Mytilus edulis: one gene and its partners. The protein of the gene in region 1 interacts with the protein of each later gene in a pairwise test. Links are inferred from orthologs where the notes say so. Each region holds a gene or a part of one and is shown on either strand. Other genes may lie near its edges. The genes, in order: cyclin-C-like, cyclin-dependent kinase 14-like, cyclin-dependent kinase 1-like and cyclin-dependent kinase 5-like.

Region 1 (8,691 bases):
TGAGATTAGTATTAACTATTAAGAGGTTTATGTAGAATTAAGGCACATTGTCTAAAACAGGCCTTTCCAATTACTCCTCACTTTTTACTTCAAATTTATAATAAGCTACATGTAGATATGAATAGTGCGCATGATGCTACTATATGGTGTTTAATTTTACATGCCTTTTTTCTTATGTTTAGAAAATCTAATTTGGTTCCAGATTCTGTTTCTACTTTTGATCATAATAAACAGCTTTGTAGGGATAGTACATGTATTATTTTCGATTGTAAGCGTAAGCTATTATTGATAAGTGTTAAATGGTCGAACCCCATTCAGTTTGGTTAGAGAGAATTATTGATACCTCTAGTCTCAATACCAGATTCTCCATTGTGTCCCGTTCAAGCTTTTTTGAATATGAAGTCTTTGGTTTGTACTTCTGATAAGAGTCCAGCTTATTGTTTATAAAAAATAAATTATGTGTACCTGTCTTGTATAGACAATTTCAGACAATACTGAAACAGTTAATTACTGAGATTGGTATAGATGCGTCGTCATATTCTACACATAGTTTTAGGCGAGGGGGGGGGCTAGCTGGGCTTTTGCAGCCGAAGTACCTACGGAGTTAATTCAATTGTACGAAGATTGGAAAATCGATGCTTACAAGAGATATTTAAAATTTCATTAGACAATAAGATTTCAGTAGCAGAAAAGATGACAGCACATATTTCAGATGTTTTATTATAAATTTTACAGGGAATTTCTTAGAAAAAAGGGTGACCATTGTGTCAGCGTCTATACCTAAATATGTTAGTGGAATAGATGGGTGTACAACTCAGGCCTTTCCTGGTGCCACTATTGGTCGTCTTACTGAATTAATTTCATCTGGGAAAGTAGATTTAATTTCATTAGATTTCCTTATAGTACATGTTGGTACTAATAATATTTCTTCGTCTCAATCCGTAGATACTATTATGTCTTATTTTGGAGATTTAATTAACAAGTTAAAAAAGAAGACATTTGCTAAGTCTTCCTAGACCAGTTGATCACATGAACACTGGAGCTAAAGTTAATAAAGTTAATACTGAGTTAAAAAGATTGTGTAAAAGAAATAATTTATTATATTGTAATTTGTATAGAGTTTCTTACTCTACAATATTCCAGATTCTTCCTCATTTGCTTCCGAGAGATGGGCTTCATTTAAATTTTGCTGGTACAGAACTTTTCAGAAAAAAGATAATCAACATTATTAAGCATCAGAGTATATAAATTGTAATGTGTTACAATTGTGTTTTTATTTACATTTTGTACTTCATACATGTATATTGTTTACTATAATTATTCTTTTTTCTCTTTTCAGAGAACTTGCATCCTGAATATAATGTTGGTTTTCCTCTAACTACCCAGGATCTACATACATTCTGAGTTGGTTTGCTGTTTTGTCCTTTCATTATCTATACACATTTTGAAAGGAAGGAGCTTATTTGAAGAGAGAAAAAAGATAATAGTATGTCTGGTGTTAATCATGATTAACTGTTTTGATAGTTAGTATTTTATCTTTATTTTTTTGGCGGCCTTTCAGGCTTGGCGGATGATGTGTTTGCCAAAAAATATATTTATTATGCATTTATGTTTATGTATTTTCATTTGTGTACATGTATTTAATTATTTATGATACATGTATCATCGTGTAATGTGTTTTCGTACTTATAACAATTTTCACTGCTTACGGTTTTTACTGTTGAGTTTCTATTTAGGTGTTTACTCAAATTTAAAAAGCATGTCCTGTAGATTGATTTTAGGTATCTAGTTTTTTTGTCAATGATTTCTACGATTTTTTACTGTTTCCGATTACTTTGCGATTTTTGTATGTCAAAAAAACGGTGTCATATGTTTTCGTATGAAATAAAAGTTGGATCAGTACACGGACAGGAAATGACTACAAAATCCGGAAATACATTTTTTCTAAAGTCGTGGTTCGGGTGATCGCTTGAATCTTAAAAAAAGTTATTAAATACTTTTCAGTACAAAAAATTACTAGTAAAAAGTGTAAGGTTGGTGTTTCGTGTGATGAAATTTTTAGATTTTGATTAATTTCAGATTGGCACCTGGTTTGTACAAAATACATTATTTTTTCTAAAATAAAATGCAGTTTTCAAAATTTATGATTAAATATAAAAAGTAAAAGACTGTTTTCATCTTCATGTATCAAGGATGTATAAAAAAAATTGTCAATGAAATATTGAATAGTTAGATTTTGAACAACCATTTTATATAAGAACCCTGCTAATTTTAACTCGATGGTTTGTAATTAAAACGGCCAAAAAAACACATGACAGTCATACGTCTTGAAGATCCGGTGTCTGACTTGCAAAAAAACATATCTGGACTTTATTTTAACCCTTCAGAATTTTTTTCCACAACTATTCTAGTGATGCGTATTTTTGACATTAAATAAAAATGGCTAAATAGGTCAGTTTTATTTAATTTGTTCTAACGTCTTTAAAAAGCGACGTTGAATATGTTTTAAATATATCAAGTTGTAGTAGTGTTGTTGTTCTAAATATATAAACAGAAAAACATGCCACAATGTACGCGTATGCAGTCGAAACCGACGAAATGTGGTTGATACGAAAACATATGACATACAAAAACATATGACACGACGATATATTGTGTTTTAACTTTTGTAATATATTGAAAGAATATTTATATGGGGACGAAGTCCCCAATAACAGTAGAAAATTCAATAAAAAAAAAAATTCGGGAAAATTTCCCGAATTTTTCATTGTACTAATGAACTCAAAATCGTTCAATTTTTTTTATGTCATGTTTTGAAATTCCGGACCTGCGCAGAAATGTACAATATACTTCCTTTTTCCGGTCTCGTTTGTATGAAACTTTGAGTAAAATATATATTTATCAGTCTAGTATAAAATAGGAAGGAACGCGCAATACTTATTTTATTTTTAATAATTCCTTGATATGAAAAAACGTTACCTAATGATAGCGTTTCTTGTTTACATTGCATATGACGTCATAATTTAAATAACGTCACAACTAAAATCCTTAACAACAGAACCAAAATCGGAAACGTTACTGTATTTCCGTGTATTTTTTTTTGACAAATAATTGAGTTACAAAAAAATAATTCATATAGACTTCGTCCCCATTTACAGGTAATGCCTGCCTCATATTAACAGGCAATACAAATTATACCTATTGACTTCCCTTTATTTCACCCACTTGATAATTTGAAAGAAAAGAATTCAATCCAATTTATGATTTTTTTCTGATATGCCTTAGTATTTCATTTTTCATAGTAATCTTTTGTGTGGTACATGCTAATATTTATTAAACTTCTTTTTGTACATACAAATGAGAACTTTGCCAGAAGTTTCCTGCCATTTTCAACTGTGTATCAATTCATACTATCAAAATAACTGTATCGCACTGGGGTATTAATAACAGGTGCTTTCTAGTTGAGTCCTATCTGTAATGTTATTATTTTTTCTGGGAAAAAAAGATCCGGATGTCCGAAAATGATTAGAATCGCAGCATCAAATGCCGACCAACTGTGTGACATTTCCGAGATTTGACGTCAATTATTTTGAAGCTGATTTTGAGGCCCCTCGATATTGGTAACAATATAAATAATAATGGAATTGACGAACGTAATCGTTAACCAGCGAATAAACATTTATAATTCTCCCTGTGCAAAGTTAAGGTAGATAGATAATTTTATTAACCAATCATGGTGCCCAAAATTTGAGCTATACAATCAAATGAATTACAAAATAAAGCACAGAAAATGATTAGAATGATTAAAGTACATTTAAACAAAAAACCACATGAATACACATTTACACTAATTAACCTGATATAAACCAAGTTATTGACAAAACATAGTTGTTATGGGTAAGGCCAAGGTTTGAGTAAACCATACAAAACATTTAAATGCCAGTTTCTAGCCTTCAAACAGTTAAAATTTTTATCTCCACCTGCTCTTTTTCATAAATTGTACCTGCAGCTCTTGTAAATAATGTAACTCCTTGCTGTCCAATGATTTGAATTTGAAGCCTGGTATTGTTATGCCCACCTACGTTCGTGCGTGCGTCAGTCCGTCCGTCCGTTCGTCGTACCGTTCGTTCGTTCTTCCGTCTGTCCCAGCCCGCATCAGGTTAAAGTTTTTGGTCAAGTTAGTTTTTGATGAAGTTGAAGTCCAATCAACTTGAAACTTAGTACACATGTTCCCTATGACATGATCGTACTAATTTTAATGCCAAATTAGAGTTTTTACCCCAATTTCATGGTCCACTGAACATAGAAAATGATACCCGGTTCGAGTGGGGCATCCGTGTATTGGGGATAACTTTTCGCTTTTCCGTTATTTTTTGCAGCCGGTTATTTTTATTTATATATTTATTTATTTATTTATTTATTTATTTATTTATTTATTTATTTATTTATTTATTTATTTATTTATTTATTTATTTGCTTATGCATTGTGTGCTTTAGCTGCATGCAGTCTTTTGCTTGTGTTCATAGTGTTTAATTTTACATGTGCTATTCTAATATAAATACTACTTTATCCTGCAATTGGGTGTTCTACTATACAGATACAGCCCTACAGATATCGCTTTGCTGTATCTGTATACTATACAGATATCGCTTAAAAGCTCCGCCAACTGCCGGACTGAGTATTGTATGAACCTACGTGACCTCAGAATGTGTATTGGAGTCGCATTCCAATGACGTATCAATTGCGAATTAACGATTACTTTTATACGTTCTGTTTGTTTCCAAACATTTCTTTAGAGCAATAAGAATCACACCAATTGTCTGATAACATACACACATGAACAACTTGAATGTGTATGGTTGTGTAACAAAAACAACCATGTCAATTTCAGCATGCATTTTAAGTAAATGTCGAGTCTGAAGCGTAGGACAACTCGTACACTCCTGTCTCAAATTGGACAATGTTTTGTTATTTGTTTTTACTGTTGAAATTAGTTGTTATGTTAAAATAGATAATTATTCACCTTGAGCGATGTATTATTGTTGACCATTCGAGATTCTTTTTTTGCGAACCCGCCTTCTTCTGAATGTGTGATTACTACATATCGTATTACTACACGGGCCTCAAGGGATTTCAAATCGAAAATAAATGCAAAATATGTATTTTTGTGTCTTTCAAAACACAAATGATATACAGAATTAATTGCAGGATAAAGACAATAACTGTTTAGTGTCTTTAAATATCAGCTGTATTTGTACTCGGCTCGAAACAGGTGTAATAGCTCGCTAAAAGCTCGCATACACCTTGTTTCCTAGCCTCGTACAAATACAGCTGATATTTAAAGACACTAAACAGTTATTGTCTATATATTCTACTATGTGCTGATATTTGACATTCTTTTAATATATATCTTGCTTAGCTTTTATTTTGCATGTGCTATTTATGTATTGATACATATGTATGCTGTCTGTCTGTCTGTTTGTGTGTTTGTGTTGTATATGTATCTGATGTTATTACATGTATTTTTTGTTTATTAATATCAGTCGGTTAAAGAGCTCTTAAGATCATATGTTCCTTGTTATTATGTATATATGCAAACCGACTTTAAATAAAGATTACTTTACTTTACTTTAAACAATAGTTACTGATCATTCATCATAAAAAAAAAGCACAGGGACTTCTTTAAAACAAATATCTTGCAAAAGGAAAGTGATGATTTGATGAATATACAAATGGGCGAGAATAAGTCGGTGAAAACGAAATTCATACTGAATCTAGTACTAGCAGGGTTTCTGATGAGAAGGAGAAGCGGTATGGAAATGTTTAAATGACCTGGAAAAGATTTTCAATTTTATTAAAAAAATCTTCTTAATATATAATACCTTATATGCCAGTTAATCATATACCTACATATTTGGTTTTTCATCGGTCTAAAATAAAATAATAAATTTGGAAGGAATATGTTTAGGGTCCATATTGTTTTCTGCTGAAAATAATTTTGTTTGTGCTTTATCTGAATGACAATGCGTACATTCATTATTTTGTGCCATTTTCATATCCATATTTCTTTCTTTGCAAATACACCTTGTAGAACGCCACATGCATGCGGGGTGTCGGCTATGTTTGACACGGGCCGGGTGGCAATTTCGAAGCGGAGAAAAACTATCAAAGTAAGTTCAAGTATCAAAATTTCTTTTTCTTAGAATTCTTAGTACCATAAAATGTATTGCACGGAATGAACTGAAACATAATCTATTTCCTGCAAGCAGAAGCAGTCGTATTTAGTACTATGTTTCCTCAAACACCTCTCCCTAGTTTTCCGTGTTGCAGATTTTGAGGCTTCATATGCAAATTTCTGGATAAAAAACTTCTTTAGACGACTTCCTTCCGTATCATATAGAATTGAATTCCTGTCATGTAATTTAACCAAATACCAGCTTCTTACTTAAAATTAATTGATTTTAAAACTAGTTTTTCATCCAAATATGAAGTGTCGCTCGGGGTGTCAGATTTTGCGTCTCAAGGGGTAGATCGCTTTTTATAAAAATAGAATAGATTTACATATAAATCGGTCTATATCTGATACTTTTTAGTTCAAACATATCTGCTATTTTATGATAAGACATTACATACTGAATGTACTTCATTTTGCCTGTTTTCTTTGAAATTGTCTTTTAAGACATGTGCTTTTGATTTCGTAAAAAGTAAAAAAATTGACTCAGAAAAGGTCCCGGTTGAGGCTCATTGCACAGATACATCGAGGAAAATCACAGAACACACCTCTATAAAATATTTGGCCGAAGCCACCATCAGTCAAACTCCATCAAAGTGCATCACCAGGTTCCTCTCAAAAGCTCTCGCGCAAGCCGCAAAAGCAACCACTCTAAAACAAACTCGATTACTTTCTCCAATGAAACACTCACCGGAATTTTTTTTCCATCAAATGTCAATACAGCTTCAAGGAGAGATGAAGACGATGACACTAATATTCTTAACGATTTCAAAACAGAGATTCAAAAAAATTTAATCTGGCTGCTGATTTCTATCTTTTATCCAAATGGTAAAAGAAAAAAAATCTTTAGACAATATTTCTCTCTTTTTTTTCCCTGTAGACGGTCAGATTAATTTCAAAAGGAATAACATCGGAAATCGGCTGTATCCGACGGGAAACTGGTTACATCATTTTTCTCGGTATTTTTTTTATATTTTATGGGTGGACCAAAAAGTATTGGACACATTACAGAAAATTTGCAGGTAATGGCTATTCGTCCGGCTAGCCGGACAACCGAACGAATAGACACTCCGAAATTTTTATGAGCGTGGAATATACGATCCCCAGGACGCAGGAAAATTTTATGCAGTTCCAAGTCAAAACTAAAGATACTATCACACTTCATCGCTATGCCGTTGACAACCCTAAATCTGACCTCTGCTTTACATATCTTGGTTCTAACGTTGAAACATTTCATCATGTTCCACGAGGCTGTCATGGTTTCCTTGATACGAGATATCTATTGTGCTTTCATTAACATAATATGAGTATGTTCCAAATATGTCACTTGCACTAGAAAGAACCGAGTTGATACAAGAAAGGTCATTTCCGACAATTTCCGATAGCTGTAACAGTTACGCCTGTAATCCACTGATCACAAGGAAACCATTTCAGCCTCATGGAACTTGAAGACATGTTTCAACGTTAAAACCAAGATATCTAAAGCCGAAGTAAGAATTTGGGATATCAAGGTCCATGGCGATGAATTCTGATCGTATCTTTTGGCTGGGAACTGCAAAATTAATCACTGCGTCTTGTGATTGTCATTCCGAGCTCACAAAAGTTTTCTGTAATGTGGCCAATACTTTTTGGTTCACCCATAAAATGATTAAATAAGTCTGTAGCCCGTTTCCAAAACCTCCTCATTGATTCCCGATACCACATTTCCGATGTTATTCTTTTTGACATATATCTAACCGTCTACAGGAAAAGAAAGAGAAAATGTTGGTTAAAGATTTTTCTTTCTTTTACCATTTAGATAAATATAGAAAATCAGCAGCCAAGTTTGGTCTGAAAACCGATATGAACAAAAACAATCTGTCATGAACTTAAGTGTTACGTATGATGAGATTTACAGATTGTCAATTTACTTTAAATTTGTCAGAAGAGTTCTTGTAGGAGTTATTGCCCTTAAATGACAAATTCTAACATTTTTTTCATGTATGCTTATTATCTGAACAAACCTGTTTTATAGAGAAATGTATATGTTAGCGGCAATAAGTGAAATTAGACATTAAGCTTAAATCCTAGGCAATAAGCTAACGCCTAGGCAGTAAGTCTATTGCCTAATTATACTGTTAGGCATATGCTCTTATAATATACTAGATTATGGAGTGTGTGTCCGAGCGAGAACTTCTCTAGTTCATTACTTTAGGAATATTTATCAAAAAGTAACTACTTCAATATTCAGCCCCTTTCTACTATTTTGTCAGACGTCAGTCGATACCCTGATATATCCTAATCTTTTCGGGGTAATTAATACGGATAGCGTTTGACATCTTTATCCGAACAGATTTATCATTTTTACATAACTTAATTCATTGTATGCTGGTTCATATTCTGGACACCAGTCTTTGCTCCTTTCTAATATAATTCACAAACAAAAAAACAAATATGAAGATTAGAAATGGAAAAATAT
Region 2 (7,817 bases), on another chromosome or scaffold:
CCTTCTGCTGTTGTCTGCTCTTTGGTCGGGTTGATGTCTTTTTGACATATTCCCCATTTCCATTCTCAATTTTATCTCACTTAAAATTACCGACTGTAATCTTCTGGTAAAGTCATCTTAATAAGGGAAAAACTCAAAAAAAAACCTACTTGTCTAGTTAGATCCATTTAATTTGATGCGACTGTCACACATTAGTGAGATGTTTAGCTAGCTATAAAACCAGGTTTCATTCTCATTTTCTACATAATAAAATCCCAGTACAAAGTCTGTAATACAAAATGTAATATGACAGTTGTTATCCATTGGTTTGATGTGTTTGAGCTTTTAATTTTGCCATTTGATAATTAGGGACTTTTCAATTTGAATTTTCCTTAGAGTTCGGTATTTTTGTGATTTTACTTTTTATGTCTCGTCTAAAGTCCAATTTTGGCCAAGAAAAAAATCCCTCTCTATATACTAAACTGTACGAGGCATCATGGTAGGAAACATCTAAGAAATATTTTTTAATGTGTGGCCTTATTTATTTTAATTTTTCATGCCTTAGACCCTACTACAAAAATAAGTATAAAATTGAGAATGGAAATGGGGAATGTGTGAAAGAGACAACAACCTGACCAAAGAGAAGAGAACAGCCAAAGTATCTACAATGCAGCGAGAAAATCATGTTTGTTCTCTTTTATCAGCAACTTTTCAAAAGCAAAGAACAAATTTACCTGACCAGGTTCAAAAACTGGACAGAGAGATGAACTCTTGCATGTTTATGATTAAAAATATTTCAAATTCCCTCTTTATATATATATATATTTAAACATGTTAAATGTAATACCTTTTCAAATTTTGGAATTAAGTTGACTTCAAGCATTTAACATGCACCTGTTTTCTCTTCACATGTACACAGTATTATTACCACATCTTAAGTATTTACAAACCCTCTCTTATGTAAATAAATACTACAAGATCAATATCTTTTCAAAGGAAATAAACATAATAAGTTGGTTTATTTTATATGTAAACACAACAGTGAGGATGATTATATTGGCTTAGGTGCTTGTAAAATCAATCTTATAATATATACATTGTATATTAAATAATTAAAAGTAATTAGCTGATATGTATCCCATCAGATATACAAATTTAATTATATATTGGGGCTGTCCAAAGGAGAATCATAATAAAATTGAGAATGAACCCTCCCTTTTTTTGGCCGATCAATGCATTTTAAAGGGGACATATAGCTGGACCCCCACCCCCCCTTTATCCTGGGTTGGGAACCCCCCATTTTTAAAATGGCTGGATCCGCCCCTGATGGTTCTCAAAGTTATTACTGTAATAACTAATATTGTTAAAAATTACAATTTATTTACTTGTACAATTTATATACATGTATCTACACGTACCTGTAACCATAAACATGTAGGATAGATTGAGTTCAAAGAAAAGATATTGATATTTTGCAATTCATTAAGTGATTATCTCCCCTCACATTGAATAATGTAAATGGAAATGAAAGATATTTTACTAAATTGTGAGCCTTTTTAGTTGAAAATTTCACAATGATAAAAAATATCAAATCATGTTCATGTATTGTATCAAAGGGCAGATATTGTATGACACTATAATAGACCATTTAACATTCTTTTTCTGTGACATGATGTAGTAATTGGTTCAATTCAATTGGTGGCAAATAACATTAAAGCCTCATTTTAAAGGGGGGCAGAACCTTTTTCGGGACGCCAGGATCAGGTGTTTTTAAACTTGGGATTTAGGGATTAATCCTTTCAGGATCTAGAAATTCTTTTTTCAATTTCTGGAATGTCGGAATTTAAATTTCTTTAAAGTTGGAACCTCAGGATCTCATGTTTTGAAGCCCTAGATTTCAGGATCAGACCCCCTCCGACCCTATCCCCCCCCTCACTTCTCATTTTATATTAGTATTGAAAATTGGTTGCCAACCTACATGTACAATGTATGATTTAATGGCACTATTTTTTTACATTTTTAAATTTAAGATATTAATATAATATTATGTTACAGCACAAGAAAGCAGGGGTTTTTTTTCAAATAATTTGACCAAGCAGTGTAGAAAAAGTCTGAGGTGGTCCCCAAATATGGAAAATAGTCCCCCAGAAACAATTAAATTTAGGCCAATTTACCAATGCTGATAAAGTGAGTCTCATTGGGGTCTAAGCGTGACGCAGGATTGCCGATTTCTTGTAAGTGTGACACGTGAAAGTCAAATTATTGTGTCTTGAAAACGGGAAATGAGGTCTAAGCGTGACGCAGGATTGCCGATTTCTTTTAAGTGTGACACGTGAAAGTCAAATTATTATGTCTTGAAATTGGGAAATGAGGTCTAACGGGACCCGGGAAATGACAAAAAAATGAGAATTGCTTACGTACATAGTGTAAGCGGGAAACGGGAATCTGACAAAACAGTAAGCGGGATCCGGGATCAGAACCCCCCCCAAATGAGAGCCCCAATAAATAATGCAACTCTGTGGTCCTTTGAAACACATGATGACTTGATCTTTGAGAGTGACTGCTAGGAAATGTTCAAAAAAACATGTACAAATGTACTTTTATTAAATTACTTGAGAGGTTGGGAAAGGGACCATCTTCTAACATAAATAGAGCCTAAAGGGCAAACACACCAAATTAACAAAAGCCAAAAACACAAGAATATATTTGACAGCAGTAAAAATTTTGGAATTAGGATCTTTTAGTTTCAGGCCAGGATAGTCTAAACTTAAGGTTGTCATATGAATGATGATGACACTACATGTGCACTTGTCTGAAAGGTTGGACAACCTACAGCATACCTGCCAAGTGTCACTATTTGCGGGGGATTTCCCCCATGGAGGCTCCTAAATGGAAATTTTGAAAGAGCAATTTTGTCCACAAATTTAAACAAAACAATTAGTTTTATAGTGGCTAAAGGTTTGTAACAGTATGAAGAAGCCTAAAAACAACATTAAAATATACATAAAGGTCCCCTTGAAGGTTTTGTAGGACTACATTAGCCATCTTGCACGCAAAACCCCCATGAGCATTTTGAAAAGTTGGCAGGTATGCTACAGGCCTGCACTGTTCAGCTGTTCGGCTGAACTGAAACTGAAACATATATATGAAATTTCTTCGCTAATAAACAAATAAAATATTACAGGCGTCTATTACAAAATGCAAAATGTTATTATTATATGAACATTCATTTTACAAGATGTCAATAAGTGTGTCAAGAACAGTCATTCTTTTGTCAACGAAGAACCCCTTTTTTATGCGACATGAGTCATCCGGTTACACAAAAACATCTTGAAAAAAACCTTACCGTCTCTTGATTTCGGTTTTTCACCATTACAGCGGACTTCGGTCGCCATATTCTCCGTGTGAATTCACTTTTGAATGATTAAATTTCATTATAATTCATTTCATTGTAAGAAAATGTTCCATTGTTGTTTGGCGACCTTTTTCTGATTTTCGATTTTCTGTCAATACATTTCATTCGGAACTCTTCTAGTCTAGTTAAAACCGCGGGAAATTTAACTACAATTATAGTTATGAAATATTGCTTGCAATCAATCAGACCACTCGCTTACGATCACTTAACATACCGTTATATTCCGATGAAATAGACAGAATAAGAATTGTACAGTGTTTCGAGAAATTATTGCTATGTATCTACTGACGTATTTTTGCCCCCCTAATTTTTTGTAAATAAACTAGTGAGTTCAGCACTTTGGAGTTCAGTTTGCTGTGTGTCACTGAATAATCATAGTTAACTGACTTTTTAAGCCCAACATACTGTTAAATACGGTAATGAGAGAGAAACTAGAGGCTCTAAAGAGCCTGTGACGCTCACCTTGGTCTTGTGCATATTAAACAATGGACACGGATAAATTCATGACATAATTGTGTTTTGGTGATAGTGATGTGTTTGTAGATCTTACTTTATTGAACATTCTTGTTGCTACAATTATCTCTATCTCTAATGAACTTGGCCCAGTAATTACAGTGGAAAATATTTTCTAAAAATTTACAAAAATTTATCAAAAATGTTAAAAATTAACTATAAAGGGCAATAACTCCTTAAGGGGTCAATTGACTATTTTGGTCATGAAACTTATTTGTAGATCTTATTTTGCTGAACGTTTATATTGCTGTATACAGTTTATCTCTATCTATAATAATATTCAAGATAATAACAAAAAACGGCAAAATTTCCTTAAAATTACCAATTCAGGACAGTAACCTAACAATGGGTTGTCCAATCCATGTGAAAACATCAGGGCAGATAGATCTTGACCTTATAAACAATTAAACCCTGTCAGATTTTCTCTTAATGCTTTGGTTTTTGAGTTATAAGCCAAAAACTGCATTTTACCCCTATGTTCTATTTTTAGCCATGGCGGCCATCTTGGTTGGTTGGCCGGGTCACGCCACACATTTTTTAAACTAGATACCCCAATGATGATTGTGGCCAAGTTTGGTTTAATTTGGCACAGTAGTTTCAGAGGAAAAGATTTTTGCAAAAGTTAACGACGACGGACGACGACGGACGACGGACGACGACGATGACGACGGCGGACGACGGACGCCAAGTGATGGGAAAAGCTCACTTGGCCCTTTGGGCCAGGTGAGCTAAAAAGATGCAAATATATAAAATGAACACGTATAAGGCAGCTACAAATTGTTTAATTTAGGGGGGCCGGGGTAGAATGAAATATTTGATGAAAGATAGGACTGGACAGTTTTGAGTATAACAATAGGGCAGGCATGATGAGCAACTTGGCAAAACATGAAGGATGACAATCAATGTAAAAAAAAAAGTAAGGATAAATTAATAAAAAAAAAAAAAAAGACAGGCCGTGACCATTCGCAGCAAATGGTTGCTCCCTAAAGGTAATTGTAAGTATATTGTGATTTTTTAAATGAATCTTCCGACCTTGACTGGTAAGAGTTGCAAATACATGATTTTTCCCACATTAGACAGAATGAAAATGAATAGTCTGCCGATATAAAACGCAGGAATTTATTGTGAACAATTTTTTAGAGAAAAATAATTAAAATAATAAATGTAGTGGGAAAAGTTTGTTTTGTGTGTGTGTGTGTGTGGTTTTTTTATTTAGCTTTTTGTCTTGAATTTATACATGCAAGCTGAGACTACTATAACACTGTGTTATAGTAGTCTCAGATGCAAGGTGAATTAAATATAGAGTAACACCACAGGCACTCGTCTCATGCAGCCCCTATACACCTTTATTTTTTTTTTCTGAGACGAGTGCCTGTGAGTAACACCGGCAACAACGTTACTGGTATTAAAAAAAATCAACAGAAGTTAAGCAAGATGTTTTTTGTTTTTTTCCATTTCAACTGACATTCAAATTGTAAAATCCGCAGCTGAGCCAAAACGTAGAACTTAAGAATGGTCTTTCATAACTTAATGTAAATTCAATTCATTTCCCTTTATAAATTATAGATTTTAATTGGAATGGACGAGAGAGTGACATTCTACTTAAAATTGTCACCCGCTCAGCCAGGTGACAGAGTAAATTAACACCAGCGTATTAGACAATCAAAATACGGCATTTTTATGTGAAGTATGATAATAAATATTGCTTACAGTGTCATCTTTTTCTCAAGGTAAGTGTTCATTTTCCACATTATTTAAATCGCATTTCAGGGGCGGATGCAGCCATTTCAAAAGGGGGGGGGGGGTCCAATCATATGTCAAATTCAAATGCATTGGTCGTCAAAAAAGAGGGTTCATCCCTCGGAACTCCCTGGATCCGCCATTGCATTTAGTACAAATTATCGCCACTGAATTAAAAGAGCGAAATTTACAGAAATTATACTAAATTAAATCATCGTGTTTGTGCTTGCATGAGCAAAACCGCAGGTGAAACGATTGGGGCTGGATTTTCTTACTCCTCCGGATCATCTGATATTTTTGATTAGTTTTTTTAAAGGGATTTCGGAGGGGGTCCTCATCTGCTAAGTCTTATTTTTCTATATTATGTTTTGTATACTACTATTTGTTTTGTGGTCGTTTTTTTCGTTTCTTGCTATGAGGGGGAGGACAGGGAGAAACGGGGTAGGAGAAAGGAGAAAGGGGGTGGGAGAAAGGAGAAAGGGGGTAGGAGAAAGGAGAGGAAGGCTGGGAGAAAGGAGAAAAAGTTGGAGAAAGGAGAAAAATAAAATATCTCTCCTTTTAAAAAATTTTCTAATATTTCAAGAAAAAATATCTCAAAAGGAGACGTTTTATTCTAATGGGAGAAAGGAGAACGGGGGTAGGAGAAAGGAGAAAAGGGGTGGGAGAAGGGAGAAGGGTACCCCCCTGTCCTCCCCCTTGCTATGGCATATTTAGTTCATATTCGACTAATGAGTTTGTGTATCCCTTTGATATTTTTGGTCTCTCTTTCGTGACAGAGTACACACCATTGAAGTACAATACTGACAGAGTTGCTCTCAAAATTAAGATTTCATTGCATGGTTTTAAATATGCGACATGGTGGTTGTAGCAATTCAGCTGAATTCTAATAGATTTTCCTGAAATCGCAACAATCAATCTCGCATTGCTGTCTATTCTTAAAAAATCACAAAAATAAATGCATGCAAAAATTTTTGTATTTACACTATCAACGACAGAGTTTACTTTTGGTCATAGAAGTATACCTTATGGCATGGTTGCTCAATATTTACAGGGGGCACACCATGAGAGTATGTATGACAGAATACTAATTACGGAAGGACAATCAGAGTACGCACCATACACTGGAAAACAATATTGCACAACATGGAATAAAATTGAGAATGGAAATGGGGAATGTGTCAAAGAGACAACAACCCGACCATAGAAAAAACAACAGCAGAAGATCATCAACAGGTCTTCAATGTAGCGAGACATTCCCGCACCCGGAGGCGTCCTTCAGCTGGCCCCTAAACAAATATATACTAGTTCAGTGATAATGAACGCCATACTAATTTCCGAATTGTACACAAGAAACTAAAATTAAAAAAATACAAGACTAACAAAGGCCAGAGGCTCCTGACTTGGGACAGGCGCAAAAATGCGGCGGGGTTAAACATGTTTATGAACTCTCAACCCTCCCCCTATACCTCTAGCCAATGTAGAAAAGTAAATGCATAACAATACGCACATTTAAAATTCAATTCAAGAGAAGTCCGAGTCTGATGTCAGAAGATGTAACCAAAGAAAATAAACAAAATGACAACAATACATAAATAACAACAGACTACTAGCAGTTAACTGACATGCCAGCTCCAGACTTCAATTAAACTGATTGAAAGATTATGATTTCATCATATGAATATCAGGCACAATCCTTCCCGTTAGGGGTTTAGTATCATACCATCATAACATATATGAGAAGAACATAACCCGTGTCATGCCAACAACTGTTTTTTTAATAAATGTGTTTAGTTCCGATGCAAAGACCCAATAAGTGAATCAATATTAACGCCAAAATAAGCAATCTTTATTGACCTGACAAGCATGATAGTGACATAGAGTGCATCCTAAGTAAGTCCGATAGCGATATAGAGTGCATATCATGGAAGCATGATAGTGACATAGAGTGCATCCTAAGTAAGTCCGATAGCGATATAGAGTGCATATCATGGAAGCATGATAGTGACATAGAGTGCATCCTAAGTAAGTCCGATAGCGATATAGAGTGCATATCATGGAAGCATGATAGTGACATAGAGTGCATCCTAAGTAAGTCCGATAGCGATATAGAGTGCATATCATGGAAGCATGATAGTGACATAGAGTGCATCCTAAGTAAGTCCGATAGCGA
Region 3 (8,860 bases), on another chromosome or scaffold:
GTGTCAAATATTCGTTGGAATTGCTTGATAAATTGCATGCTTACATTGCAATTGGTGATTTCAAATCTGTTCAAAGTTGATGATGGAAATTTTTAACTACCTTAACTGGCTATACAGCCCTCGCACGGTAGGTGTTCAAAGTGTTTTTTTACTGTCCTATATTTACCTCTTTGCCGCCTCATAATCTCATTAAGACAAAATAATCGTGACATTGTCACATGTTAAATATGCATTTAAAACTGAAGTCAGAATGAAATATATACACGCCTGGTAAACCATCTAATCTCAATCTAAATGTTGAGATGGAAAAAAGTATTCTGGCACTTCTTGTTGAGTTTTTCTGGTTCAAAATATTCAAAATAAACGCAGGGTAGGTAGACTTTTCGTCAATTTACTGAAAATCAATGCGTTTTTTGTAAATTCGGAGAATGTCATGCCATAGATATTGGAATTACGGTTTATCTCGTGTATAACACAAATGAATATGATTTAAAATGACATCGTAATGACTTTTCTCCAGCAGGTAAATGTGACCAGCGCAGTCAGCTATTGACAAAATGACAGTGATATCATTGATAAACTAGCATATATATCAGTAAATTAGTATTTTTCTAAAACATTATAAACATAAAATTACTGTTCGTTCTTTTTCTTTACTAATATAATTTCATTAAGCTAAATATGTTATAAAGTATGTCATGTTGAGATTTTCTGGTATCGGTTGAGATATTCTGGAACAATGTTGAGATCTTCTGGTGAATGAAATTTTCAACTATAAAAAAGAAGATGTGGTATGACTGCCAATGGGACAACTGTCCACAAGAGACCAAAATGACACAGACATTAACAACTATAGGTCACCGTACGGCCTTCAACAATGAACAAAGCCCATACCGCACAGTCAGCTACAAAAGGCCCCGATATGACAATATAAAACAATTTAAACGAGAAAACTAAAGGCCTTATTTATATATAAAAAAAAAAAAAAAATAACGAAAAACAAATATGATTCAATATGTAACACATAAACAAACGACAACCACTGAACTACAGGCTCCTGGCTTGGGACAGGCGCATACATAAATAATGTGGAGGGGTTAAACATGTTAGCAGGATCCCAACCCTCCCCCTTACCCGGGACAGTGGTCTATATAACAGTACAACATAAGAACGAACTATAAAAATCAGGTGAAAAAGGTTTACTTAACTCATCAGATAGACAAAAATACAATGATTGGACGTGGCCGGGTTCTTGAACATCCTGACAACAAAAATACACTAGGAACAGATCTGAGAGTACTCGCAGTTATCTGACAGCTAGTTCAAAGCCACTAACTACTAATAAAAAAATCATGCATCTTAGACTAAACTATCAATCCGTACACATCCAACATCCAATGAATTTAGTGTCAAGACGTCATAAACAGTCAGAGAAAAACATGACCTTGTGTAGCTTAGTATCAATTACATGTACAACTGTCAAAATTCATAAACTTGCCGTATATTGTTTGACATTTCAACAGTCATTTTAATCTTGTCTGTAGTTATCACAGCAGCTTCTAAAAAGGACTTTGGTTGTAATAGAGTCTAAATAGTAAATAGCTGTGTTTTTTTAAGTACTGGTATTAAAGTTCTAACGCTGGAGATTAAGTCTATAGCGATTGAGATGCAGTTTTGCACAGAAGCTTTAACGTCAATAATGTTGTAATTGACACCTCAAGGGCTAGAATTTATTTATTTATTTATGTGTAACATATTTGTTTTTCGTTCATTTTTTTTATATATATTAATAAGGCCGTTAGTTTTCTCGTTACAATTGTTTTACATTGTCATTTCGGGGCCTTTTATAGCTGTCTATGCAGTATGGGTTTTGCTTATATTATAAGGCCGTACGGCGACCTCTACTGAGTTGTTACTTTATGTGTCATTTTGGTCTCTTGTGGAGAGTTATCATTGGCAATCGTACCACAGAAAGAACATTGATAATAAAACGGATACATACAAATTGAAAACAAATCGCGTAAGAAAAAGCAATTATTGGTATGTTAGTTTCCTTTAGTATCATTTTTGGTTCAACTTCTTAATCATGATCAGGCAAAATTATTGGCTTTTTATTCTGACATTTGTTTTTCTTATTCCTCTTCCACCCCATTTTTCGGCATATTACACGTCCGTTTTATTTGGTCATCACATCGCGGACTCCTAACGGATGCAAATTTTGTAAATGAAAAACTTTTGTTATTTGTTATTTTAGCAGATATCGCATGTTTAGCATAGACACACACAATTTTGTTTTTTAGAATTTAAGTTGACCAGGCCAGAGTTCAAACTAACTATCTCCCACAATTTAGCTACGTCAAATCCAGTTTTAAAATATTTAAAAAGAAAACTGAATTAATATTCAGAAATGGATAACCATTAAAGTCATTCATTTCATCAAAAGTTATGTGGAACTATCTCCTGACACTTTTAAGACAGTTTTAGCTAGAACAGTTCTAACCAAGAACTGATTTGGTCATTGGTAAGTTCTACCTAGAACTGATTTACACACTTCAACCTGGAACTGATCCTGACAGTTCCACGGCTAAAAAAATCTACGACTAGAACAGAACTGCGACCTGATTTCGCCAAGAACGCATCACGATTGTTTTGAACATGTTTAAAGTTTGCTACTCTCAACACGATCACCAAGACCTCATCAAGACCGTAACACGACCATACTGGACTACGATCGTCAATAGCATAATGCATTATTTTTTTAGAGATCGTAGTGCGATCACGGCCTAGTGTGACGGGGCCCGGGTTATAATATAAATGTTGCTGAATACTACCAAATATTAAGGATGTGCCCTGAATGCAGTTGTGAACAAACATCTAAGTTTTAATTATTTCAATACAACACCTGTGATTACACTAAATTGGACGTCACTTATAATACTTACAAAGCAATTTTAAAATCGAATCATATTTTTTTTGTGATAACTATTATAATGACAAAAATGACATCTTTTACTCACATTTAAATTATCACCACCTGAAATAGTGTGTACGAAAAAATTATTCTAGACAAGGGGTCCTGTTCGATTGTTTAGTTTTTAACTATTTTATTTCTTTATACATGTACGCATTTTCGGCATTAAATAATGTCTGTTAGGAATCGAATTCATCCAAATCATATTAATAAATAACCATGTTAAAATAATGTTATTTATATTTGTAAGGCATGCATGTTTCTATCGGCAATGCTTAAAATTGTATCTGTATTTAGATTTTATGTTACCACAGACAGAAAACATGAATCAGGTTAACCGTAAAAAAAAAGGTAAACTCGAATAGTACAGCGCAACCAGAAAGTCTCAACATTGTGACAGAAAGACTCAACCAATACCTTTATATCTCAACTATTTATATTCTTTAATTTTTCTGCTCAGAGTAGCTTGACAAAGAAATATTTGTGCAAATTACAGACGTGGTTATCGTAAAGCCTTAAAAAAAACACAAATAATTGACATATTTTCTTGCTAAGTCATTAATATCATAGCAGTTCTATCGGATTTAAAGAATGTAAACATTATAATCCGTAGGAGAAAAGTGATTGTGACTTCAATTTAAAATATTTTAAACCAAGAAGAGACATATTAGTTACAATTATTATTTATCTATGGCATGACATTCTCCGATTTTACAAAAATGTCATTGATTTTCAGTAAATCGACGAAAATTCGACCTACCCTGTGTTTATTTTGAATATTTTGAAGCAGAAAGCTCAACAGGAAGTGCCAGAATACTTTTTTCCGAGATTAGATGGTTTACCAGGCGTGATATATGTAACTACGTATTTGACTTTAACGAAAGAAATATCGGTATTACTGAAAACTATTGCACCAGGATTTTCAATAACACAAAACTATTCAAAACATTTACTAAATTTTAAAGTCGGATCAAGGACTTCATTCGTAAATATAAATCAACATATCTAAAAGACATCTAATACTTTCAGAAAGCCACGAATATCATCGGATTTAGATTAATTTGAAAGTCAGACAAGACTCAGTGTTTTTGGTTCAATGACGACAAAATTATAAAAAACGCAAGTTTTATTTATTTATTATATATCTACGGAAATATCTCATCACATAAAACATACATATCCGTAACATAATCCCTTTGTTACCGCTTTACAGCATATATGTTGTATTGCACATCGTATGTTTGTTTCCTGGAATAAAAATTGCGAAAAGTCAAAGTGAGGCGAAAGATAATAAAGGGACATTCATAAATCGAAAAATAAACTGACAACACTATTACAGAAAACAAAAAAAATAAACTACAAAAAACAGTATACAAAAACCAACGGAACAAAACATAACAAATATATGTGTGGATATTGAATGTACAAGTTGTTCATTGAAAATAAAAACATAAATAAGGCCGTTAGTTTTCTCGTTTGAATTGTTTTACATTGTCATTTCGGGGCCTTTTATAGCTGACTATGCGGCATGGGCTTTGTACATTGTTAAAGGCCGTACGGAGACCTGTAGTTGTTAATCTCTGTGTCATTTTGGTCTCTTTTGGAGAACGGTTATCTCATTGGTAATCATACCACAGGCTTCTTTTTTTTTTTATATTATCCGATTCTCCAAGACTATACACAGTTGAATCAAAAAGACCCAAAACAAAATGTTGTGAATGTTTTTACATTCTGAACATATCTCTCAACAACTGAAAACGAAAAAGAGCATCTTCTATACATCGATCAATCTTGCATCTTGAAATCTTCTACCTATCATTAAAAAAAAAAGATTGAACACGGTAATATCAGTTATCGTACACATTATTTTGAGACCCCCTTCTATATTATTTACCTCGGAAACCGAGTCGGACAGTTAATGTAAATCTATGTAAGGGACTTCACGAAACTTTCCTAAATAGATATAGATCGATATAGGCAGATGTGATATGCGTGTCAATCAGACAACTCTCCATTCAAGTCACTTTTTTTTCATTTTTTGAAAAGTAAACCATTATAGCTAGGTCAAAGTACGTTCTTCAACACGAAGCCTTGGCTCTCACCGAACAGCAGGCTATGAAGGGCCCCAAAAATTACTAATGGAAAACCATTGAAACAGAGAAACCAATTAACGGTCTTGTCTATATATTTTTTTTTTTAAACGAGTCATGAACACTTATGAATGAACCACACCAACAAACGACAACCACTGAACATCAGGTTCCTGTCTTAGCGGACAGGTGCAAACAAATGCAGCGGTTTAAAACGTTTTAATAGGAACCAACGTTCGCCCTTACCTGAAACAATAGTGTTACATCACAACTGAACATAGAAATAAAAACTATGAAATATCGATTAATATATATTGCCATTTTATGTCTCATATCAAGTTTTTTTGTCACAGAAAAAAAGATAGATTGCCATGTTTAATGGATGACACGGACAGTAACCCAACAACTTAATGAAACAGAAAACATTTTTATCAATTTAGAGTAAAAATACTTACAGAATATATATCTGTTAAGACAGTACTATATAGCTATAGAATTTAGAATGGAAGCGTAAGATGTAGGCCCCTATCTGTAAAAAATGTTGTTGTCGTCGTTGATGTTGGTCAGTAAAATAATTTAAATATATTTTACTTGCTAGCAAATAAAATCTATATTGCATATTGCAACTAGCATGCACATATTAAGTTGTTGTCGTTCAACTTGGTGGCTGTCTGTAGTAGCTGATCTTAAAAAATATTATTTTGTCATAGATAAGCTAGCCCATTGGATTTTTTTCTTTTAAATTGTTTCTTAATTTACCATACCAGGACTTACAATCTGGTGTTCGTTTTGCTGATGGTTGAAGGCCGTATGGTAACCTCTAATTGCGTGATTCAATGTAATTTTGATTTAGTTGGAAATAGGTGTCTCGGATTGAAATCACTACATCTCCTTATTCCATATTCTCTTTCATTTCATCTCAGCTCTAGAGGGTGAAACGTTTTGGGGAAGTTAGATAAAGGAGATAAATAAGTGGAGATTTGGGATTAAGAGGTAATAATTATGGAATGCTAATTGAATATATGATGTTTAAAAGTGTGATTTGTGAGGGGAAAAAACGGTATTTTGAAAATGAGCTCTTCGTGTCACCTTCACCATCCAATTCAGTGTAAAAGGTTTATAAAGATTTAAATAAAAATAAAGGGAAAAAAACACAAAAACAAATAGCCGGAGAATCATTTGTTTTAAACGGATTAAAAAAAAGAAGACAAAAATGGACAAGAAATATTTAGAATAGAAAATCATTTGGTGCAAATATCTAAAAGAAAACAGAAAAATGATAAAAAACAAATCAGTAAAAATAGGTGATAGTGGCATCAGAATCACTGAAGAATACACCTGAGAAATTCATTTCAAGTATATGTTTTGGTATTTCGCAAGATACATGTATATGCTATTGCTTAGAGTTAATTTTTCTTTTTATTTATTTTGCATGCTGCATGCCTTGTTTTATGTGTTCAAGGATTTGTATAGTATTATACAAATCCTTGATTTGTTATAATTGCATATGTTTTATATTCGGTGAAAAGCTCATTAGAGATTACGTTTGTACTGTTTGTCAAACGGCATGCCGAATCCAAATAAAGTTTTACTTACTTACTTAAAATTGAGAATGGAAATGGGGAATGTGCCAAAGAGACAACAACCCGACCATAGAAAAAAAACCAGCAGAAGGTCACCAACAGGTCTTCAATGTAGCGAGAAATTCCCGCACCCGGAGGCGTCCTTCAACTGGCCCCTAAACAAATATATACTAGTTCAGTGATAATGAACGCCATACTAATTTCCAAATTGTACACAAGAAACTAAAATTAAAATAATACAAGACTAACAAAGGCCAGAGGCTCCTGACTTGGGACAGGCGCAAAAATGCGGCGGGGTTAAACATGTTTGTGAGATCTCAAACCCCCCCCCCCCCCCTATACCTCTAGCCAATGTAGAAAAGTAAACGCATAACAATACGCACATTAAAATTCAGTTCAAGAGAAGTCCGTTACTTTACTCAGTATTCATGCTGCCGGGTAAATTGCCGTTTTGAATTTTTGGCACGCTATTTCGAGCACGTCTTTATTTTGAATTTTAGCAGTTTACTCATATTTCTCATGCAGTTTGGAATATTAAGTTCGAAAATGCACAATACGCACTGCTGTGCACTGGTCATGAGGAGAACTACTGCAGAATGAGATACTACTAGAACACACCCGTGATATCGCGGTTCCGTGACTGAATTAACGTATAACTATGCGCAAGCCTTATCTTAGTATTAGTACTGTCATCTGATAAAGTCATGCCGATTATAAGATACACAATTTTCAAATCTTTCTGTTTGAACCCGTCGAACTGGAACTTATCAATTGTTGTTAATATTAAATATTTGGAAAACAAAAGGTCCGGGAATGGAGTATCTTTTAAACAACAGCATTGTCCTATATTAGTTATAAATAAAGTTGAATTCTTTGATTCGCTGTTTTACGTCATGCCCGCTAACAAATTGAAACTTATTTCTAGTCCAGATTTTTAGTATTTGTATTGTTATCTTAGAAAGTCTTACGGATTAAAATACTACAATAGGTAACAATTTGACAATTTAGTAGTGTCAACCCTGTGATTATGACCCGTTTATATAGCATATTAATCCTGAATACACCGTTTGGTGGTGCGCCTGTTAAATGCGGAACGTACAGATAAGGTAATAGGTAACAGGTGATTATACTATTGGTATCGGTATCGGACTCGACCCGGAACTTCCTAATTATTGGCGATATTAATTACGTGGAAAACAAAAGGGCCTGCAGTGGTGTAATTTTTAATCTACACCTTTGTACTATATTAGTTGTATATAAAGTTGAATTCTTTGATTCGTCGTTTTTACGTGATGACGGATGACAAATTGGACCTCGTAATTTTAGTATTATAGATATTCCTGGTTCTATTTTTACTTTTTGTTTCCGTATTAATAAACTTTATATCATATTCTTTTAATATTAAATCGACCTCATTGCACTCAATGCCTCTGACCTTAATTATATCCTACATTGCTCATATTATCAATTTATTATTTGTGTATTACTTATAATATTGTGTATTTCACTTATGTTTATATAATCATTGTATGATGTTTTTGTATCTTGCCCGACAAGAGCCCATGATTGGTTTAATAAAATAATGTCTAATAATGTCTAATGTCTATCCAATGCGGGTGTGCTCCTTTTATACAGGAGAATAATACTTGTACACGGAGGTAAAATTTCAGGAAAAAAAAGTATCCCGGAATTGACTCCGATAGTATATTCTAAAATTTTGGTCGGTCTAACGTTTTAAAATTATTCGAATTTTTGATTGGTCATATTTTAAATGCAGGAGCGGTGAAAAAAAGAAAAAGAGGTTTGAACTCTAGGTTTAAAGGCTTAATTAACTTGAAGTTTATCTGTATTTTGATATAGTTTGTTATAGATCTTCTAGTTTGTCTTAGAGGCATGTGATATTTGAGCACATTGTGATTTAGAAGATATTTAATTTTATCGCGCCATTTTCGAATTTGCCAATTTTGTTTGAACATGCCTTATCTGTTCACATGATTTTCAATTGTTTGTTTATTATTTAAAGTTTATGAATTATGTTTCAGATACTGCACTTATAGGATAGCAGCAATACTTTATTTGAATAATGGAAGATTATGTAAAAATTGAAAAGATTGGTGAAGGTGAATATGATAATTTATTTCGTCAATAAAAGACTATAAAAATTATATCTGCATCTCAATAAGTAAAAATTAAATTTCAAGCTCTTAATTAGGCTT
Region 4 (8,282 bases), on another chromosome or scaffold:
ATCCTGAGCAGATACTTGTAAAACGAACATAATTTGTATGATTTATATGTATACATCCCCCCGCCCCCCAGGCCCCCACCCCCACTCCCTCCTTTAAAAAAAAAAGAGTTTTTTCAAGCATTGTAAGTTGTTTTCTTGTTTGAATTGTTTCACATTTTTTCATGCCAGGAACTTTAATCAATTATGATATGGTATGGGTTTTGCTCAATGCTCATTGTTGAAGGTCATATGGTGACCTACACTGCATACATTCACTTTTTTTGGTCAATCAATGGACTCAGCATGGTTGAAAATTGTCTCATTGGCAATCAAACCACATCTCCTTAATTTTGTATTACCAGAATCTATTTTTACTGAATATAGAAGTCTAGTTTATCTTACTTCGTCATCATCATCTAGTCGTACTCTTTTTAAAGCTACAACTTCATGTGTGTCACGATTCTTAGCCTTGAAAACTGTACCATATGTTCCTATAAAGAAAATCTAATTACCGTAAATATGTTTAGTAAATCATGTGTTACATATATAGAGAATAATACATGGCAAAATCCGTATCATATGCCGTATCATCCCGAGATATCAATATCAGCCCGAGGGCCTCTATTCCCAAGGGATGATATTGGTCGAGGGTGATACGGCATGTGATACAGATTTTGCCATGTATTATTCTGTTTATCATATATTTTAATGGAATCATATTCATGGGATATCCATTTTTTTTAAATCGTCCGAAATTATAAGCAAGAAAAGAACATTGTGATTGTGCTGTATTTTCCCAGCTGATTTTTTTTTATAGACTTCCTTATTTGCTTAATATCCACATCGTAATATCCCCTATAACCAAATTTAATTCTCACTATATGTTTAAGACAATGTATTAAAATGCATCCACCAACGATACTATCCTAATATTTCAACAAAAATTAATATTAAAAAAATAAATATCGTAAGATGTAGAATGTTTAAAGTTTTATTGTTTATTTGGCGATGATATTATTCATGATCTGGTTCATTTTAACTTCTGGCGAAGTGAACACCAAGAAAAATATTTATTGGAAAGTTTACTATCTTTTCTAATCAAATTAAAATCGTAAAAAATTTCATTTGTGTTTAACCCATCAGGTAATGAAAAGAGACTTCATAAAAAATAAGACTAAACAATAAAACTTCAGATATTTCCATCTTATTGTGTCTTTTTTTTATATAGATGAAAATCGCTCGTGAAGTCACTGGTACTATTTTTTTTTGGAAAATATTGATTTTATTTGAAATGCTAGGACATTTTTGTTAGTTTGAACTCGATACAGGGTATGTGATACAGACTGGAAAAAAGACCCTTTATTAGATATACAAAATTGCTGTATTTTATACTAAGTATATGATAAATGTACCTAACATACCCATATTCTGTTCTTAAACTATAATATAGAAATGTAAAAACTTACAAACACTTCATATTTTTTCAGTGGAAATTTGTGTTTTTTTGTAATTCTACATAAATTATTTCTCTAACTTTTTTCCCAGTGAAACATGTTACCATGGTAACCAGCTGGTAACTAACAATTTCAATTCAATATTGTTTAAACTTAATAATTATTGAACGATTCATGCATGAATATTTCTTAATCATTTCTGTCCATTCAATTTTGCAATACTAGCCTCACCGGACACAATTACGAACGATTTTTGAACTGTGATTAATATTTTTTTTATGTAGACTACTTTTCTTGAATTTTTTATACCATAGAATTTAAGATGTATGAAGGCTTTCTATTTTGCATCATATCCCACATAAATTTTTATGCATGTTGGGATACTTTAGTAAGATTTGCGTGACTTCGTTTTACGGGTCAAGAGAGCCACATATGGACGCAATTCCGAACAGCACTATATTGATATATCTTGCAGAAGAAATCAATGACAACAGTCTATATTGATAAAGCATACATTAATCTTTATCTCAAACACATTTTCATAGGAAAATAAAAAGCACAAGTTTGTTTTTTACTTCAATTACTTCAGCAGTGGTTGCAGACGAAATGTCGGTCATGTGTAAAGGAAAGATTTTTGATTTTTTTTGTTTTTGTGTAAGTTCCTCCTTTAAAGGAGCACTAAATTCAAGTTTATCCATTTCGGTGGTGTACTTATCATTCATCTATAATTTTTTTTATATTGGTCAACATTTCTTTCGGAGTTGTCTGGACTTTTCAATAAAATTAACATATTTTCTTTTGGCCATAAATAGGTTCACAAGAGTCTTAAAAACGTCAATTGTGGGGTTATATGGGCATGATAAAAGGCATCACGCATATGAACAGAATCAGGAGATATTTTTCTTTCTATATATTAACAAAAGAAGGCAATATGCACTTACCTTTATGTATTTTTTTTATATAACTTCCAGGTCAGATTGCCGTTCTTATAATATTTTCAGAATGATTTTGTCATCGTCATCAACATTCACCAAGTGCACATAAATTGTATTATCATGAAAACAAGGGATTTTTAATAGGGTTTTTATTTATAAAAACATTTATTGATAAATATAAACAAATATGATCTCGGAGGGCAAACATTGGAAATCGTTCGTAATTGTGTCCAGTCGTAATTGCGTCCTGTGGGGCTAATTGTTTTCGTACTACTAATTTTGACTTTGCATTATGTAATTTTAAAATTGTGCATATAAAACATGAAACTGTTTCCTTAAACATTGTAATGATTGTAAGCTTTATTTAATTCTTTATGTTGCTCTTATCTTACTGAGTACCAGAATGTTTTTCCATTGATAAAGTAACCTGTCAAAAAAAATATAAATTCAGGCTTCAAACGTCAGGTTACATTTAAGTAGCATTTCGCTAGGGCAGTGAGACAGCTATCTATGTTAGCCAAAGGTAACAATCCTGGCTACTGGGATGTGAGACTGCATTTAATTATTTGGTCAAAACTTGACAAAAGCTTGTGGGTTGTGTTGTTGATGCTGAATCTCAAAATATTTTATTCTTATTCTAATGACTCCAATACAATATGTGTTTTTATTCAAATTAAGGTGCCTCAGGTTGCAATGGCATAGATACAATCTTAATTCAGTATATGCAAATTATACAGTTTGTCTCTTATAGCATTATTGCCATTTATAGCTGTCATAAATTATTGATTTATTCAGTTGTTTACAACATAGACGTAAGATTATAGTTTCTTCTTTGAAGTAGAAAAAAATCGAACTATCAAATTATCTACTATATTTCCAACGTTCTCGTCCATATTATTCATAAATTTTACGAACCTTCTCCTATTTTCTCTAATTTTTCATATTTTTGCATTTTCTGGAACAATTTTCCGGAGAACTATCGTACAGGGGAGCGAAACCATGCAAATGGTATGAATTTACTTTCGACACGTAGTGTGTCGCCACCTGCCTCTTTAGAAACTTTACAAAGTCCGAGAGTCAATATAATCTAAGTTAACAGTTCGATATAACGTTTTGACCGAGAACGTTAATGATTTTGCAAGAATGATTTTATAAAGAGGCTTTTTACATTTTATTGAAAATTTCCATATTTTTTTTAACAACTTCATTGATTGTTGCATTAGCCTTCATGTATTCTTAGCGTCTGCATTCAACATAAAGCTCATGGGATTTCCTGATAAACTTGCAAAAGTTTTCTTTTTGTCTGCTGCGGCGCCGGCTTCCTCTATGGTTCAGTGTTACTGTAGTCATAAATGAAAGACATCATTCACAGTGCCTGGCACATCTGTTGTTCCTCAATGTACTATCTTGGTTCCAGTCTTGTTACTTATATATATATATATCAATGACCTGTCAGTATTGAATTGACCACTTACTAAGAAGGCTGGGTTTGAGGACAAGGAGGCTTTAAAATTATACTTTTGGTAACAAATCATCATTGGTTATGATAAATGAAAATGAAAGAGGACACTGACTGACATCCTGACTTTTATTATCACTGGACTAGTATATATTTGTTTAGGGGCCAGCTGAAGGACGCCTCCGGGTGCGGGAATTTCTCGCTACATTGAAGACCTGTTGGTGACCCTCTGCTGTTGTTTTTTTATTTGGGCGGGTTGTTGTCTCTTTGACACATTCCCCATTTCCATTCTCAATTTTATTTTAGACTATATATAATATAATATATAAGAAAAATGTAAGTAAAGAGAGATTAACAGCTTCGTTGCTTTCTATCTAGATAAATGTACTGTGCTATCCGTCAGCTAAAAGAAACAACCCATTTAGCATGGCTACATTCTACATAATCGATCGTACACTAGAATATGTAACCTCTGCTAAATACCGCTGTACCATATACATGTAGTACAGTCATACCTCGAAAGAGAAACACATATATAGTTGATATTAGACAATATACGTATACCGTGTCTTGAAATGTGAAATTTATTTGTATGAGGCTTAGAAACGGGAAAATGCGAGGTTCTATCATACTGAAATCGATAAAAAAAAAAAAAAAAAATAATAAAAATATGAAACAAACATTTGAAAAAAAAAGTGTTGGGAATTTCCCCCTTGGGGTACCATTTTTGGGTATTTCCCTATGAGCGTAGTCTAGGCGGTAAGCATTGACAATTTAAGGAATTAGAAAGGGAAAATGAATTTAATTAATAATATTTGATAAACATGGTATATAAATTACCAATTTGAAGACATAACAGGTTTAAATTCATAAAATTTTGACCATTGTTACTACATGTTGTCATGGTTGCGACGTGAAGTTGTAAGTAGGCGGGGCTTATAGGTGAGTTGAGGTCATTGACGTATAAAGCTAACGTTTATACGTATAGCTTTATCTGTATAGTAAAATAGCTGATTGCAGTATAATATATCATCCTACAGTACCGCAATAAATCAATGTGGTTCCGTAAACATAATCTGAAAACACAAATCATCGCGATTTAAAACCCAGGGATATCAAACACTCGTTCTGTCAAAACTTGAATAGTCTTGTTTTGCTCATTTATATACAACAGAGAACCAAGTCGTAACCCGAAATTGAGATGGTCTAAACATATTCACCACAATAAAATTAACGTCACTGACAGAAACGTATGCTGTATTCATCATACAGCCTCGTACTATAAACATGTAGCTCAACTATACTTGTGACCAGGATTGTTGATTTTGAGTTGCTTAATGTCCACTGGCAAATATGTCATGCATGTCCTGGACAAGCAACAACCAGGAAACCCGATTCACTCACACACAAGAACATGCAATGACTCATACAGACACTCATACTCTTCCACAACACAATACCTTCCTGTATTACTTGTTTAGGCTACAACAGTCTTTGATATCTTAAGTGAACAGCTCATTTCTACTTTTCGCTATCCTTGTTAAAAAAAAAAGCTTAAAACCAGATGGTATATAGTGTTTGTAATTTGATCAGAAAAATGTCATTTTCATTGCATTAATAAGGTAGATATGGTGTCTTCCTCCATCTTGGATTTGGAAATACCAGAAAACAAGGTCTAGATCTTTAATAGAATGTGCAAATTTTTAGAGTAGTGGGTATTTCATGCGTAAGAACTTTCATTTCAGTATGGTTGTATTTTACAAAAAACAGAAAACTTTTGTTTGATAAATTTTTTTCCAACTTTGCCACATAAGGGAAGGCAACTCAAATGCAAGGACAGATTATTCAGATTTTACAATAGAATGTGTTAGGAATTTACCTTTTTTTTTTAATATAGCGAAAAAACGGGTCCGGTGATCCCATTTTTTTCATTACTTAACTGAAAGCATACTATTAAAGCTATCTTCTCATATGTTATCTCAAAATTCTATGGTGTAGTTTACGCTTTATTGCAGAAAATTGGGTTTTCCATACATAATCTATACAAAATTTGTCAATTTTGAACACCATGTAGCGGGAAAATAAGCCCCGTGACCCATTCTATTTTTTTTTTAAAGCATGATTTAGACTATATTTTGGCAAATTATTAAAAAAATATATGGATTGTAATTTAGACACCCCATCTACCTTAAATAACTATTTTCTGTTTAATTTGGAGTGAAAAACCCATGGATGCAACAGTTTGACATCACCGAATGTCGTAACATACTATATAAATAAAAAGACACAGTTTGAGTGGTAAATTACAGAATACTCAATACAGCAATACAGGATATGATCTTTCAATCAGTTTAAATGAGATCTGGTGCTTGCATGTCAGTAATTGCTAGAAGTCCTTTGTTAATTTTGTATCATCGTCATTTTGCTTATAGTTTCTTTTGCTGCCTATTCTGACATCGGACTCCGACTTCTTTTAAACTGAGTGTTTACTGAGCGTATTGCTGTGTGTTTGTTCAATTTACATTGGCTAGAGGTATAGGCCGGGGTTGAGATAATAGTTATCAAAAGTACCAGGATGATAATTTTATACGCCAGACGCGCGTTTCGTCTACATAAGACTCATCAGTGACGCTCAGATCAAAATAGTTAAAAAGCCAAATAAATACAAAGTTGAAGAGCATTGAGGATCCAAAATTCCAAATAGATGTGCCAAATACGGCTAAGGTAATCTACTCCTGGGGTAAGAACATCCTTAGTTTTTCGAAAAATTCAAAGTTTTGTAAACAGAAAATTTATAAAAATGACCATATAATTGATATACATGTTGAACCCCGCCGCAATTTTTGAGCTTGTCCCAAGTCAGGAGCCTCTGGCCTTTGTTATTTTTTTTTTAATTCTAGTTCATTTATATGCATGTTTAGAATTTAAGTATGACGTCCATTTTCATTAAACTAGTACACATTTTATTATAAGCCAGTTGAATTCCGAGTCTTGTTCTAAATTTGATGTCTTAGAAATGGTTACTCCTATTGTAATACATTATGTTCTATATTATTCAGATTTAGATATTGTCGTACATTGATATTTACCATTTGATACATGTCCAACACAATATGTTTATAAAATTCCATTAGTCTATTATATTGTGATTTTTTTTGTTAATGATAATGTAATAAAAATAATTTAAAAAAAACTGACTTTGTTTTGACATGGTAAAATTTCTTAATTAATATGCAAAATGATACATTATAATTCTATACATATCAGTAGTAACGAGAAATATACATTATAAACATGCTTATGACATATGTGATAGTTTTAACCACTTAGACTTTATTGGAGCGAGCTAAGTTGAGTTGTAAAAAATCAGAGTCACACATGATCAAAAACCGATTAAAAAATATTAAGTTGAGGAAGATCGCAATAATCAGATTTCTGAGATTTTTATTTTTATTTTAAATATATGCCGAAATTTAACATTTAAAAGTGCCGAACAATAAATGGGGCGAAACACTATCTTTATACATCATCTGAAGACCGAAAATATATATCTTGTGGTAGTTAGTCATTTCATGGTCACGAGAAAAAACGAGATTTCAATTTACCAAGCGAAGCCGACAAAGAAAATCAAATGCAGCCACAACAGCGGTCGTTCCCAGCACAGGGACCACCAATGAGACCATTTCCCCAGCCAGGTTATTCCCCTGTATGTATATCTTCTTGTCAAAGATTAGTGAGATAAATATACATGTGTACAACTATGAAAGTTAAGAACAAAACAAAAAGGGGGATGGTAATGCTTAGACTGTATATCACTTTTTAGAGGGAAATACTTTATTGCTTTATACATACTAGGTATCACAAAATTAGGACCATGCAACTGATAATGCTTATCAGTCGTCAGTTATGGTGCTGTCTGATGTACAGTATAGTATACACACTCCAAAGACTTATGGCTTTACTTTGCCTGTGGTTAACTCTTATAACAAATAATGGGTTTAATTACAAGATAATCCATTTCCCCATTTAAATTTAGTCACAAAAGTCTCGTGATAACGTCAGAATTTATGCAGTATTGAGATAAATACAGCAGCACTCCATGAAAATATCAACATACATGTATTCAAGTTGTCATAATGATCAACTTACAGTTGGTTATATGAAGGTGATGGAGTCAAACATAAACTAACTGTTATATGTTAAATATGTTAAAATCATAACATTTGCTTAATTAACCTGTGTAAATAAAAAAAAGCATGCATATAGAAAAATGATTAAATGTTAAGAAACCATTTTTCTTATCTCCACTTATGCACAACCATAAGTTTCCAAAACTCACTTGTATAATTAATTTGTGTGAACATATTCACAACAAACTTTCATTTCATGAAAATTTCTTAATGATTGATATCACCCTCAAGATTTTTGCGACTTACATTTGTGTCCAAAATTAGG

The links.
Region 2: the proteins of cyclin-C-like (region 1) and cyclin-dependent kinase 14-like interact in a two-hybrid assay, tested with the Drosophila melanogaster proteins (2 studies listed by BioGRID). The link is inferred for Mytilus edulis from reciprocal best matches to the Drosophila melanogaster genes CycC and Eip63E.
Region 3: the proteins of cyclin-C-like (region 1) and cyclin-dependent kinase 1-like interact in binary tests that used the Drosophila melanogaster proteins (3 or more experiments, as listed by UniProt). The link is inferred for Mytilus edulis from reciprocal best matches to the Drosophila melanogaster genes CycC and Cdk1.
Region 4: the proteins of cyclin-C-like (region 1) and cyclin-dependent kinase 5-like interact in binary tests that used the Drosophila melanogaster proteins (3 or more experiments, as listed by UniProt). The link is inferred for Mytilus edulis from reciprocal best matches to the Drosophila melanogaster genes CycC and Cdk5.

The regions. Positions count from the first base shown.
Region 1 is NC_092346.1:91,812,163-91,820,853, reverse strand, and holds the start of cyclin-C-like, read right to left. Parts: upstream 3,539-8,691; 5' UTR 3,388-3,538; coding exon 3,356-3,387; intron 1-3,355. UniProt on the Drosophila melanogaster protein: Component of the Mediator complex, a coactivator involved in regulated gene transcription of nearly all RNA polymerase II-dependent genes.
Region 2 is NC_092357.1:68,246,419-68,254,235, forward strand, and holds the start of cyclin-dependent kinase 14-like, read right to left. Parts: upstream 3,487-7,817; 5' UTR 3,375-3,486; coding exon 3,326-3,374; intron 1-3,325.
Region 3 is NC_092352.1:29,768,855-29,777,714, forward strand, and holds the start of cyclin-dependent kinase 1-like, read left to right. Parts: upstream 1-5,414; 5' UTR 5,415-5,502; intron 5,503-5,984; 5' UTR 5,985-6,054; intron 6,055-8,347; exon of another isoform or gene 8,348-8,458; intron 8,459-8,686; 5' UTR 8,687-8,727; coding exon 8,728-8,764; intron 8,765-8,860. UniProt on the Drosophila melanogaster protein: Plays a key role in the control of the eukaryotic cell cycle. Required for entry into S-phase and mitosis.
Region 4 is NC_092345.1:21,240,309-21,248,590, reverse strand, and holds the start of cyclin-dependent kinase 5-like, read right to left. Parts: upstream 3,416-8,282; 5' UTR 3,321-3,415; coding exon 3,284-3,320; intron 471-3,283; coding exon 382-470; intron 1-381. Other genes in the region: SWI/SNF-related matrix-associated actin-dependent regulator of chromatin subfamily D member 1-like, read left to right, coding at 7,459-7,533. UniProt on the Drosophila melanogaster protein: Probably involved in the control of the cell cycle. Interacts with D1 and D3-type G1 cyclins. Possible regulator of neuronal differentiation and/or development.